Linked DNA regions of Nothobranchius furzeri. The protein of the gene in region 1 interacts with the protein of each later gene in a pairwise test. Links are inferred from orthologs where the notes say so. Each region holds a gene or a part of one and is shown in the gene's direction. Other genes may lie near its edges.

Region 1 (6,460 bases):
GTCTACCTTTCAGAAGAGGAACTGGCAAAAATCTACATGGAAAATATGTGAAAACGTTTGTTGTTGTTTGTTGTTTGTTGTGGCAAATTGAACAAGTTGACCTAGATCTTAAAAAGCAGCTCAGATGATGAAACTGCAACTATGATTCTGATAACAAGCTAACAAATTGAACTAAGATAACCGGCTAGCAGAGCTTCTGACTGACAGTTTATGTGCAGCAGCAAATCAACTATCCTGATTAACAAGGTTATAAAAGCTCATAAATGAAAAATCACTTTGATGTGTGGGGGAACTTTTCCAGGCCCTCTTTAGCAGGGTGGGACTGGGAGGAGAGTGCTAGCTGTAGCCTTTTAGCTGGAAGCTAACCGGAGCCTGGGCTAACATCACCACCCGGTGGAACACTAGCAACATGAAGGTGGGTTGGTTCACCGGCACGTGTCGGAGTCAGCCCGGTAAAAATGATTAACGACACCGAGCGGAGTCACGTTCACGTTTGAAAAGCAGCGCTGATTCCAGAAACCTCAGCACAAAGTGCGTTCGTTGCTCTGAGCCAGCATGACGAACAAGGTAACAGCGCCGCTAACTCTGTTCGGGTGTTGCTTTCCAAAAGGGTCTATGTAGGGAGCGGGCGTATTACGTGAACAGAACCATCTGATTGGCCACATATCAGAAGGACTACATTTGATTGGTCAAATAACACTTCCACGTAAAAAACAGAGCTGGTTTACAAAAAGCTGATGTATGACACGGATGGAAATGTTTGAACCAAACATTTATCGCTGTTTTTGGCGTGTTTTGCGATGGGCCTATCGCACGTCCTATTATCGCGATGACGATAATTTTTCGATATATTGTGCAGCCCTAGTCTAGATTCTATCCGGTACAACAAATTGTTCACATTAGTATTTACTATTTAATCATACAAATAAAAACAGTTAAAGCTATTAATATTTTTTCCCATATTATATTTATATCTTATTTTTTAATGTGCTTGTAAAGCTGCTTGTGTTTTATAAAAACGTGTTCTTGTTCTACTCCAAAAATGCACACCGCTGTCCTGCATGAGCAAGGCAGGCTGTTGGTTTGTTCTCACTAAAACTGATATAAAGCCTAGTTTACGCTCCGCTCTGAGAAACCAGCTTTAAAAGAAGTTAAACTCACAAGTTAACTTAAGTGCCGAGCTTAGCTTTAGAAATCTGCCTGAACCTTTTTTTTTTTTTTTTTCTCTCTCTCTCTCTCTCTCTCTCTCTCTCTCTCTCTCTCTCTCTCTCTCTCTCTCTCTCTCTCTCTCTCTCTCTCTCTCTCTCTCTCTCTCTCTCTCTCTCTCTCTCTCTCTCTCTCTCTCTCTCTCTCTCTCTCTCTCTCTCTCTCTCTCTCTCTCTCTCTCTCTCTCTCTCTCTCTCTCTCTCTCTCTCTCTCTCTCTCTCTCTCTCTCTCTCTCTCTCTCTCTCTCTCTCTCTCTCTCTCTCTCTCTCTCTCTCTCTCTCTCTCTCTCTCTCTCTCTCTCTCTCTCTCTCTCTCTCTCTCTCTCTCTCTCTCTCTCTCTCTCTCTCTCTCTCTCTCTCTCTCTCTCTCTCTCTCTCTCTCTCTCTCTCTCTCTCTCTCTCTCTCTCTCTCTCTCTCTCTCTCTCTCTCTCTCTCTCTCTCTCTCTCTCTCTCTCTCTCTCTCTCTCTCTCTCTCTCTCTCTCTCTCTCTCTCTCTCTCTCTCTCTCTCTCTCTCTCTCTCTCTCTCTCTCTCTCTCTCTCTCTCTCTCTCTCTCTCTCTCTCTCTCTCTCTGCCAGAAGTTTTTGCGTTACCGCGCAATCATGAAAACATTAGCAGAGGCGCTCTAAAGCGTGGCTTCGGCTGCCGATGAAAAATCAGCCAATCTCTGTCAAAAAAACATCTGCAGATCTGATCAGTGCCACACAGAGCCCATTTCTTCTTCTTAAATACATTTGAAAGCCGTTTTTGTCCTTGTGTGATTAAAGTTAATGTTTTAAGGGAGTGATGTCATTTTCTGTAATCTGTGAATCGAATAGAAAACACAGTTCAGGCGTTTCCTAAAGTAGTTCAGCCCGACCAGAGGGTCACTGACCATCCCCCTCTAAGCCTAAATAATCCCAGTAAAAAAGGTTTGTGTAAACATTATGAAACCTAAACAACTTGCAGGGAAATTAGAAATATCGCCGCTTTCCGATGGATCACATTGGATGACCAGAGCCACGTTAAGTTATGCATAGATCTACTGTTCCCTGAAGGAAGGAGAGGAGCAGTGTTGTAGCGACTGAACCACCTCTCATCGTTGTAAAGCTGCCACTATGTGCTGGTGTGTGCAGGCGTGTGGCGTGTATAGCCATGGAGAAGACCAAACAGGAACAGCAGGCCAGTTGTACTTGGTTTGGCAAAAAGAAGAAACAATACAAAGACAAATACCTGGCCAAGCACAACGCAGGTACGTCACTGTTCAACCACGATGTCTACTAGCACAGAAGGACCTCAGGTGTTGTTTTGATTTAAATGTGAGGGCTTAAAGCCCCGAGACCTTTACTGTTTAGTGAACATGGTATAATCACATTGCTGCACCTGTTAGTGTTGCATGTTTCTCCCTCTGAGGCCTTTTTCTATTTACTGTCTGATGTTTCAGCTACTAACGTTTGTTGTTGACAGTCTTAAGTTGAATTATGGTCTGTAATAACCCTTCCGCTCCCACCCTCTGTCCATATTTCATGCTGTCTCTTACCCAATGACATGGCTGCATGTAAGTAACTGACGAAAGCTGGTATCCTTTATTTTCCCCTTTATCTCCTGGTGTTTTCATTGGAATGAGCTGCTCTGGTCTGGGTTGTTCACAGCAATGTGATTCAGATTGATTCTGGTGTTCAATCTGACCAGGTTTTCCACGATGTTACTCCCAAAATCAATTCATTGGCTAATTTCTCAAGCAAAACCAGTGCAGTTAATCCTACTTTCTCTACACTCTGTCATATCTGACCCATCTTATTTGTGTTGAGTTTGACTGCATGAATTCAGAAACACGGTTAAGTTTTAGTTTCACACCTGCCCTAAAGAGTTCCAGATCATTTAGATCCACCTGTAGATGCACCTTGGTGGTTCTCATCGGTCATGTTCTAAAGCTTCTCCTCTGTTGTTCAGTGTTTGACCAACTAGACTTGGTGACGTATGAAGAAGTGGTCAAACTGCCCTCATTCAAGAGGAAAACACTAGTTTTGCTGGGTAAGTTGTTATCTCTAAATAGATAAACTTGGATCAAACAGGAAGAAAACAAATTTGGTTAAATAAAAAAACTGTATAAAAAGATGTTAAAAAGAAAAAAAAGTGATTAAAAAATAATAAAGGGAGAGAGAAATCAGTGGATCCCGGGAAAGGTGGAATAAGAGCAGAATAAGGAGAGGGTGGTGACAAAAGTCACACCAAAGCCTGAACAGGTGAGTTTTCAGCTGCTTTTTAAAGGAGACCATTGAGTCCACTGATCTCAGGCTCAGGGGGAGAGAGGTCCAGAGTCTGGGGGCCACAGCAGCAGATGATCTGTCACTTTTGGTCTTTAGCCTGGTGCGCTGCACAACCAGTAGGATTTGGTCACTGGACCTCAGGGACCTGCTGGGGGTGTAGGGACTGAGAAGATCACCAACGTAAGATGGTGCTTGTCCATGTAAGGCCCTAAAGACCAGAACCAGGATCTTGAAATGAACTCTGAAGTTGACTGGCTGCCACTGAAGTTGGAGGAGAAGCGGGGAGCAGGGGAGTAGAAAGTTGCAGTAGTCTTAAGTGTGAGGAGATGATGGTGTGGAGGACAGAATGGGACTCAGTTTAGCAATGTTCCTGAGATGGAAGAAGGAAGAGCAAATGAGAGAACTGACTTTGGGAACCAGCTTGTCTGGGGCGCAGATGAGGATCTCAGTCTAATCTTCATTCAGCTGTAGAAAGCTCCCGGCTAACTGAGTTTTGAGAGTCTAAGCAGGTGTGTAGCAGCTGCAGCTTAGACATCTTATGGAGCTTACCCCGGCTTTCCACAGCAACCGTCAGCAGCACGTTACTGCAGCAGTACGTCATAGCTGCTGATAGGAACGGCTGTGGTCAACAGAACCTTTTCCACTGGAGCCGTCAGCAGCCGTCAGCAGCGCGAGTCGGCCGCGTCTCAGGAGCAGCATGTCGCGGCCTTTACGCGCCGGTTCTATTTCCTACGAGCGACGCCTCTGAAACGGGTCAAGTTCGACATTTTTGGGGAAGGAAAGACAGGAAATCGGACGCGGAAATGGAGAGAAGCTACCGAGATTTTCAGAATAAAGAACGTACTGCCTTCCGGTCGCTTTACTTTAAAAAAGGTTACTAACTGTGCGGCCCCGTGAGAAGTTATCACCTAGCTAGCGGTCTCCTTTGTTTTTCAGGTCCGTATTGGCGATTATAAAACGGACAGAATATAAAAACACAAACATTTTGGAGCCATGTTGTAGTTTTCTCCTGCTTGTTGTTGTGTTTACTGACGAAGTCACTCGTGTGACTTCGTGCCCTGTCGGTGACAGCTGCTCCTCTGCTGCGTCGCGTCTCGTGGGAAGGGCCAAGCAGCAGCTAGACGTGCTGCTGCAGTAACGTGCTGCTGACGGCTCCCGTGGAAACCCGGGGTTAGAGGAGATGTACAGTTGGATGTCATCTGCATAAAGATGGTAGGAGATTCCCTTTAAAGGAGCTCAGAATGTGCTTAAGAGGAAGCAGGTAGAGGAGGAAGAGTAGGGGCCCCTGCACAGAACCTTGTGGCACACCATGGGTAAGGGAGGTGGTGGAGGACCTAAACTTGGAGACGGCCACAGAAAAGGAGCGCTCAGAAAGATAAGAGGAGAACCACTCCAGAGCAGTTCCTGATAGGCCTATCCAGTCTCTCAGCCTCTCCAGTAGCAGGTGATGGTCAACAGTGTCAAAGGCTGCAGTCAGGTACAGCAGGACCAGAACAGAACAGTCCCCTGCATCACTGTGAGTCAGAAGGTCATTAGAGACCCTAAGAAGAGCTGTTCCAGTAGAAAGAGCTCTCTCTCCACTAGAGGAACTCCTTTATGTTCCTCTGCAGGTTCTGCTGCAAAAGAGTTGCCAAAAGACCTTTGCCCCTTTGAGACCACTGTAGCAGGGTTCATGCTGGCCCAAAAGGACAGGTTTCCAGGATTTTTCAGGAACAAACATGTACCTGCACTGGGGTATGTACTCAGAAATGGGACTTCTGGTTACTCAGTGGGAAATTATATCGGCAGACATCGCCAAACAACTGGCATTTGTCAAACTAGAAGAGCTGCTGGTGAAGCAGAATGGAAGGAACAGAAAATAAGGGAAGCCTTTATTCATCGCTACTGTGTCCAACAACATAGCTAACCGAGAGGCAGCGGCCATCCCTTCTTCATTGTTGATGCTCTGCCGCTGCAGGCAACTTTGGGCGCTTATCAGTGACATCATGCACAGTAAAATGTCACGATATGCTGACGACTCTTTGCAAAGTCCTGAAAGGGTCGATTTCACATGGAGAGGATGTAACGCCTAAGGACCGAGCCAGCCTATTCCCCCCGTCACCTTCCCCCTTTCTAGAAATCTCCTGAATGTCGTCTAGAGGAAACCGCTTACGCTTCATGATCAGGTCTGAGGACTGGATGGAAAGCAAGTCGAAGAGCAGCCACTGTGTAAAGAAATCTGATCAAGCCCTCTTAGAAGCGGAATATAACTAAATAAGTGGTGTTTTGTTACTTGTTTATGGTTCTCTCTGTGGTCTCTGTTTCTTCAGGTGCACATGGAGTTGGTAGGAGGCACATCAAGAACACACTCATTGCTAAACATCCGGATCGCTTCGCCTATCCTATTCCTCGTAAGCACGCCTACGTTTTGATTGCGACTTCTCATCGTCTCTAGAAAAACATGATAATTCACTCTCGCTGTTGTTCATCTCTCCACCCAGACACAACTCGGCCTCCTAAAAAAGATGAGGAGAATGGGAAGAACTATTACTTTGTGTCTCATGACCAGATGATGCAGGACATCAGCAACAACGACTACCTGGAGTACGGAAGCCACGAGGACGCCATGTACGGAACCAGGTTGGAGACCATCAGGCAGATCCACGTCCAGGGCATGATCGCAATCCTAGATGTAGAGCCGCAGGTAACAACAGTATGTGCTTTTCTATAAAAGATAATATTCTAATGTGCATGTCACATTGTTGATACCAGCCGTCAGAAGCCCCATCTCTGTCTGCTTCAAACGCATCGAAGTTGGGACTTCAGTATCTGGGCTGCTGAGACGATATTTCTCAGTAGCATGTCCTGGATTTCACCATCTGTTGTTCACACCTCCATTGCTTTTTCCACTCCTCCTCAAATGTCTGTCTGCTGACGTTTGAGATGAAGAATAAAATACCACATCTAAACCAACCCAGCAAAGAATCATACGTGTTAACAAGCTTCTAACGAGGGATAAACATAATC
Region 2 (6,888 bases), about 31 Mb from region 1:
TTGTGTGCTGTGATCATATCATTGAAGTGACAGTGCTGGGCATTAGGTAAAGTCCCTAAGCTGGTGCTCACTTTCAGGCTTTTTCTCTCCTTGTCATTCACATTGATTGGATTAGACCCAGGTGGCAAGCAGATTCCTCTGGCACAACAAGAAAAAAGTGACAATATGATGGTTGATGAAAGCAGGTTGTTTTGTACCCAAATTAACACTTTTAAAAAGAGAGAAACGTCTTTTTTATAATTATGTTTCTGCGCTTTTAGGGAATAGAGGATACCTGTAAAAAATATTTTGCCTTTCAGCTGTTTCAAGGTATTTTTTCATGTCTTTTTTAAGGCGACGGTGACACAGGAGTTAAGTACCTGCCCCGTACTCGGAATGTTGCAGGTTCAAGCCCGGCTCAGTCTGTCACTGTCATCGTGCCCTTGGGCAAGACACTTAACCCACCTAGCCTGCTGGTGGTTGGAGGGACTGGTGGCACCAGTGTACAGCAGTGCACCGCACACTGTCAGTTCACCCCAGGGCAGCTGTGGCTACAGTGTAGCCTAATTACCACCAGGGTGTGATTGTGTGTGTGAATGGGTGAATGACATTGTACAGCATCTTGGGGGGATCTAGGGCTCCAGAACGCGTTATATCAAATGCATGCCAACCATCAGTATCAAGTACTGATGATGTATTTCCAAGAAACTAGTAAACTTGAATATATATATATATATATATATATATATATATATATATATATATATATATATATATATATATATATATATATATATATATATATTCTTCAAGGGAGCCCTTAATGATTTTCCTGCTTCTCTCTCCAACTAAATGAAAGCAGAATTACGACTGTCATAGTCAACCCTTCCACCACCTGCTGTAGCTAGTGCTAACAACGAGCTAACGCAACATTGAGCCAACAGATACTAAAATAAGACATGAAGTAAAAAAGATCCACACAGTTGGACAAAAATGAATTATTACTCACAAGTCCAGTACAGCAACAAAGCCAGGTCACTATCAGACTGTGATTTCATAGCACTCATCAGCTGCCAAACAAGCGCCGTGCACAACTTGATGACTCAATTTTTTTTAGCATCCATCAGAATAAAACAGGTATTCAAACTCAGACTAATCATTCGGTTATCTGAAATTTCTTATTTAGATTTAGAATCAAACAACTAAACAAAATATTTTAGTCAATTTCTACCAGCACTGTATAATACGGGACATTTACAGTCGGTTTAGGGGTTTCCAATCATTGAGCTGTGGTCCAATCCTGGTTTGCACAATAAAAGTTTCTGAAATCAAAGTTAATTCTATTAACATATTTTATACATGTAGACTTGAATAGGGGGTTTATGTTCAAATTTGCAAAGAAATGTAAAAGTCATATAAATAAAGTGCATGGTCATTTTACTGTAACATTTGTTATAATTGCAATTAGCTCCGCCCCAAGTTCTCTAGTAAAAAGATGAACTTATTTACAAATGGTATCACTTTAATTAAAATGAACTAGTTGTCATTGTTTAAAAAAAACTATTGGACATATTTCAATAAATCTATCCAGATAAACCACATTAAAGCAGAGATCTAAAAACAATCAGAGACAATTTTTAAAAAAATATAACCAGTAGAAAACAACTTCATTCACTAGAATTTCTAAAGCAACTCTTTTGTATTTTTAAAGTTGAAACAACATATCAGATTTTACAGTGCACTGGAGCTCCTTGGTTTGGGTGCACCATATCATATAAAATACATACACTGACCAAATGTAAATGCATGCATCCAAGAGCACATTAGCATTTTCATATTAATTAAAACATTTAAATAGCTATAGATGTTGTTCATGGTGAGTCACTGCTTCAGCTGGTCAAAGGAGGCAGAAGGCAGATGTCCTAACCTGCACTTCTTTATGTCTCCTCGAGGGACAAATCTGGCCACAAGCATAACAAATCAGCCCCTCCTGTTTGATTATGTCCAAACGGCTAGCTGAGCCAATAAAGGGGGGACTTGGCCTGATAAACAGGCACACCTGGGGAGACGCACTGTGCAAATGCATGGTTGATTCAACAATTGGTTTCTTTAGAGAGAGGGGGAGGGAGAGAGAGAGAGAGAAAGAGAGAGAGTAATGCTTATTAATGATCATAGATGGAAGTGAACCATAATCCTGTAATGAGCAGAGCAGAGTGGCCTCTTTTCCTTTGGTGCAGACAAGCCTGTGCTTGCATGTTTCTCAGAAATAGATTGCTGGACCCAGTAGCCCTTCTGTAATGACCTCTCTAGTTAGTTTCAGAGAACCATGGCTGTTCATTAGAGAAACAAAATGCCTTCCAGTGTAATAGGCCTTTACTTGTGTTCCTTTAACCCTCAGATAGTCCTGGTTGGTTCCTCATTCTGCACGCAACTCAACCAAAAGCTGTTTTTCTTTAAATGTTCTAAGTGTTTTATGTTGTCAGTAAAAATGCAACATATCACTATGAAAAAAGCACATCCCAGTGAAGATTATTGAAGGAAACAAGAAATAAGAAAAAGTGAAATCAGAACTTTTCTGTCAGACAGTATCTAAACAGAACAGAACAGCTGTTCTGGAGTAACCTTATTAGCAAATGAAAAATGGAGGTGTTTGCAGCATCTGCAGCTGCTGTCTCATAATTTAATTTAATTTGATTTTATGTTTTCAATCAAAATTGTTTTATCACAAACTAAACCTGCTAGAAAATCTCCAATTGTGAAATGAAATGATTTAGGGTTTAATCACTGACTTCATCTCATCTGAATCGTGTTTATTTTTTTAGGAAATACATGTTTTATTTTATTAAAGCCTTTTACATGTACCTCAGAAATGTAATCAAAAAGAGTTTAAATGATTTATTTTTCCACACAGGATTTAATGTTTTTTTCTCTTCCAGTGAGCTTTTATTATTATTATTATTATTATTTATTTTGTTTTTCAAAGCCACAGCAGGTGCACCGGCTCATAACTTTTAGTACATGAAATATTTACCAGCACTGGGAATCATAAACACATCTTCAGAGGGACGCAGGATTTCACGCTATATCACAAACATTTTAAGGCTTCAGATGCACTGCCTGTCACGTACTGTCATTTATTTATTAAATTTTTTTGGTGTGTTAATAATATATCTAGGCTTCTCCGCGACATACTTTGGCACTCGTAGCGCATAAATAGGTAAATAACGCCGGTAAAAGGTAAATAACACAGCTGACAGCGAAAAACAACAATTATAATTACCTTCTTGTTGTATTTTTTTATGTTTCGTGCTTTATTTTTTAACCAGGAGAATCATTCGGAGTCCATATGCTTTAATCTCAGGCCCGTGTCACAATACAAACAAATCACTTTGTGCACGGCGCTCCTCAGATTGTCCTAATTAAGAGCTGTCTAATTAAATTACAGACTTGAGTTAACCAATGGCAGCACTTGTTTCATTAGCAACGCGCGCAGAGTGATGGAGAGAAAATCCACCCTGATTGCAGGATGGTGTCAATTGGCTAATTTACCGCCTTCCTTGCTTCAAGTCATCTCAAAGGCGCACTTGGTGGTGTTAGACTGGGGGAAGAGGCGTGTGCAGAAGCTGGTGATATAGGTTGAGGTAATAGTTGCTTCCTATTGAGCTATGCAGGTCGAGAATTGCATCTCGCTGCCGAGTGAACTCTCAAAGAAATTTATGAATGTGGGCAGTGGCTTTGCGAGCTCCAATGGATCCGAGGAGCTCTCGTTGCAGGACCATCCTATTATATCCGCAAGTGACAACCTGGAGAGAAGTTCACCTCTGAAAAAAAACTCCAGGGAGATGACGAATCAGTCAGAGGCAGACAATTTTCCCGACTCCAAGGACGCATCAGGGGACGTCCAGAGGGGCAAACTCTCTCCTGATCTTCACGGAGTCTCTGACATCCGTCATAATTTCGATGGATCTGCAGGAGAAAGGTGCATCTTTTCTCCGTCTTCTCAGCCGCAGTCCGTTTCAGCAGCAGCTCCCAGTGCGATGTTCCCTTACCCGAGCCAGCATGGACCCGCGCACCCGGCGTTTTCCATCGGAAGTCCCAGCCGGTACATGGCCCATCACCCGGTCATAACTAATGGAGCATACAACAGCCTTTTAACCAACACTTCTCCTCAAGCCTACCCGGCAGCAGGTTACCCTTACGCGCAACAATATGGACACGCATACCAAGGAGGGGCTTTTTACCAGTTCTCCTCGGCGCAAGCGGGACTGGTTCCGGGGAAGGCGCAGGTGTATTTGTGCAACAGGGCCCTGTGGTTGAAGTTCCACAGGCACCAAACTGAGATGATCATCACAAAACAAGGACGGTAAGAGGGCGCACATGCAGGACCAGTCGGATTTTCACATCATTGCAAGTCGGTCTCAAATAAATAAATAAACTATTTCCCCTTATAATAAAAGGCGCAATTGATGCATTTATTGGGACATCTAAATTGCAAATAAAAAAGAACATAATTTGTTTATATGGTAAAAATATCAGCATACATGTATTTTCTCCTGTTTCTGCAGACGAATGTTTCCATTTTTAAGCTTCAACATTTCTGGCCTCGACCCAACCGCTCACTACAATATATTTGTGGATGTAATCCTCGCTGATCCAAATCACTGGAGGTTTCAAGGCGGAAAGTGGGTGCCATGTGGAAAAGCGGACACGAACGTGATAGGTAATCACGACTTTTGAAAATTTCGATAGAAAATATTAGGAAAAGGGCATTTTCCCGCAGTTAATTTCATTTGGAAATAGGTCATCGCGAATCTAAAATCACTTTGAATGTATTTTTTTCTGTGCGTATTTTTTAAAGGTAATAGAGTTTACATGCACCCCGACTCACCCAACACCGGTGCGCACTGGATGCGTCAAGAAATCTCCTTTGGAAAATTAAAGCTCACCAACAACAAAGGCGCTTCCAACAACACAGGACAGGTAATGCAACCTCAAATCCAACTATTTTATTGTTGTTTAACGCATTTCATTAATTGTACGTATATTTACCGTTATGGTTTATTTCTTTTGTCTGAATTTGCTCCTTCTGTGTAAAAATAGTGTTTCCAAACTTAAAAATGTCTTTTTTCTTGTCTGACGCTCGTCCTTTATTGAAACTCCAGATGGTGGTCCTCCAGTCCCTCCACAAGTACCAGCCCAGGCTCCATGTGGTGGAAGTAAACGAGGATGGGACGGAGGACACCAGCCAACCAGGAAGAGTCCAGACGTTCACCTTCACAGAGACGCAGTTCATCGCTGTTACCGCGTACCAGAACACTGATGTACAAGAACTCTCTCTCTCTGCACAAAATAAACCATTTAGCGCATTTTGGAAATAACATGGATTTAAAAAATAATGTTGCATTTTTTTAAATGTATATATATATATATATATATATATATATATATATATATATATATATATATATATATTCGTTGTGAAAAACGAAAAAATATAAAGTTACTGATAGATTTAAACAAGGAATATGAGAATAAGTTTTTATCTTTGAGGTTTTTCCACAAATTAGAATTAAGTCTCAAATGAAATCACATTCATTATGAATTGTGTTTGCATGCTTACAGTTGTATGAAATGATCACCGCATCTTTTCTCTGCAGATCACGCAGCTGAAAATCGATCACAACCCGTTTGCAAAAGGATTTCGGGACAATTACGACACGTAAGACAACACAATTACATCTATTTGCCTCCTGGTTGCAATTTTTATCTGAACAACACAGTGCGCTATTTGGACAAGGATAATAAAAATGTTGCTTTTTATTTGAATGATTTTAATAGTAAAGAGCAAAAATCTGTTAACGAAACAAATTCAGCAGATTTTAATTAATTTACGTTCAATTTCGTTTGTGAATTTGGTTTGACCTTTGCGCACCGATTAAGAACAATATAGATTCCACAAATGATATTAAAAATGATTTAATTCCTTGTGTGAGACAGAAGGCCCATATTTCGAGGTTGCGTCAGGTGAAACGGGTTCCCAAAAAGCTGCAGATTATTTTTAATAAAAAGAAACATGATTTCAAAACGAATGGACGCACTGTGAAGTTCCCTTCTGAGCTGGTGTATTAGCAGACAAACGTCTTTGTTGAAAACGCCACCATTGCGCACCATTAAGCGCCGAATTGTTTTCTGTTTTCTCTCCATCTTTTCAGTGTCTACACAGGCTGCGACATTGACCGCCTAACTCCATCACCGGGTGACTCTCCGCGTTCACAGATCGTGCCGGGTGCGAGATATGCCATGCCTAGCTCCTTCCTGCAGGACCAATTTGTCAGCACTTATGCCAAATCTCGCTTTCACCCTGGCGTGGGGACTGGTCCTGGCACGGAGCGCAGCGTCCCACTCGGCAACAGCTTGCTATCCCCGCAGCAAACCGAGGAGCCCACTGTTGCCACCCCCCCGCAGCGATGGTTTGTCACCCCTGCCAACAACCGACTGGACTTTGCAGCCTCGGCATACGACGCTGCGGATTTCGCCGGTAACGCGGCCACCTTGCTGTCCTACGCAGCGGCCGGAGTGAAGGCTCTTCCCCTGTCGACAGCGGGCTGCTCCAACCGGCCTCTTGGCTATTACGCAGACCCGTCTGGCTGGGGAGGACGCACGCCGCCGCAGTACTGTGGCGTAAACAGCAAACCCAGCTCGGTCTTTTCCTGCTGGCCCGCCAACTCCCTCGGTGGCAGAGCCGCCACCAACTACCTGTCGGAGGAGGGGGACTCCATCGCCACGGAAAGGTCACCGATCGGTGGCTCGGAAGAGACCAAACCCAAAGACATCACCTCAGAGTCCAGCTGGATAGAGACGCCGTCGTCGATCAAGTCAATCGATTCGAGCGACTCTGGGATCTTTGAA

What was found. The genes of interacting proteins can lie anywhere in the genome.
Region 2: the proteins of peripheral plasma membrane protein CASK (region 1) and tbr1b interact in a two-hybrid assay, tested with the Homo sapiens proteins (2 studies listed by BioGRID and IntAct). The link is inferred for Nothobranchius furzeri from reciprocal best matches to the Homo sapiens genes CASK and TBR1.

Annotation. Positions count from the first base shown.
Region 1 is NC_091754.1:50,607,036-50,613,495, forward strand, and holds part of peripheral plasma membrane protein CASK, read left to right. Parts: intron 1-2,320; coding exon 2,321-2,436; intron 2,437-3,137; coding exon 3,138-3,218; intron 3,219-5,763; coding exon 5,764-5,844; intron 5,845-5,934; coding exon 5,935-6,146; intron 6,147-6,460. UniProt on the Homo sapiens protein: Multidomain scaffolding Mg(2+)-independent protein kinase that catalyzes the phosphotransfer from ATP to proteins such as NRXN1, and plays a role in synaptic transmembrane protein anchoring and ion channel trafficking.
Region 2 is NC_091754.1:19,433,957-19,440,844, forward strand, and holds the start of tbr1b (T-box brain protein 1b), read left to right. Parts: upstream 1-2,797; 5' UTR 2,798-3,644; coding exon 3,645-4,342; intron 4,343-4,544; coding exon 4,545-4,699; intron 4,700-4,837; coding exon 4,838-4,959; intron 4,960-5,141; coding exon 5,142-5,300; intron 5,301-5,636; coding exon 5,637-5,698; intron 5,699-6,191; coding exon 6,192-6,888. UniProt on the Homo sapiens protein: Transcriptional repressor involved in multiple aspects of cortical development, including neuronal migration, laminar and areal identity, and axonal projection.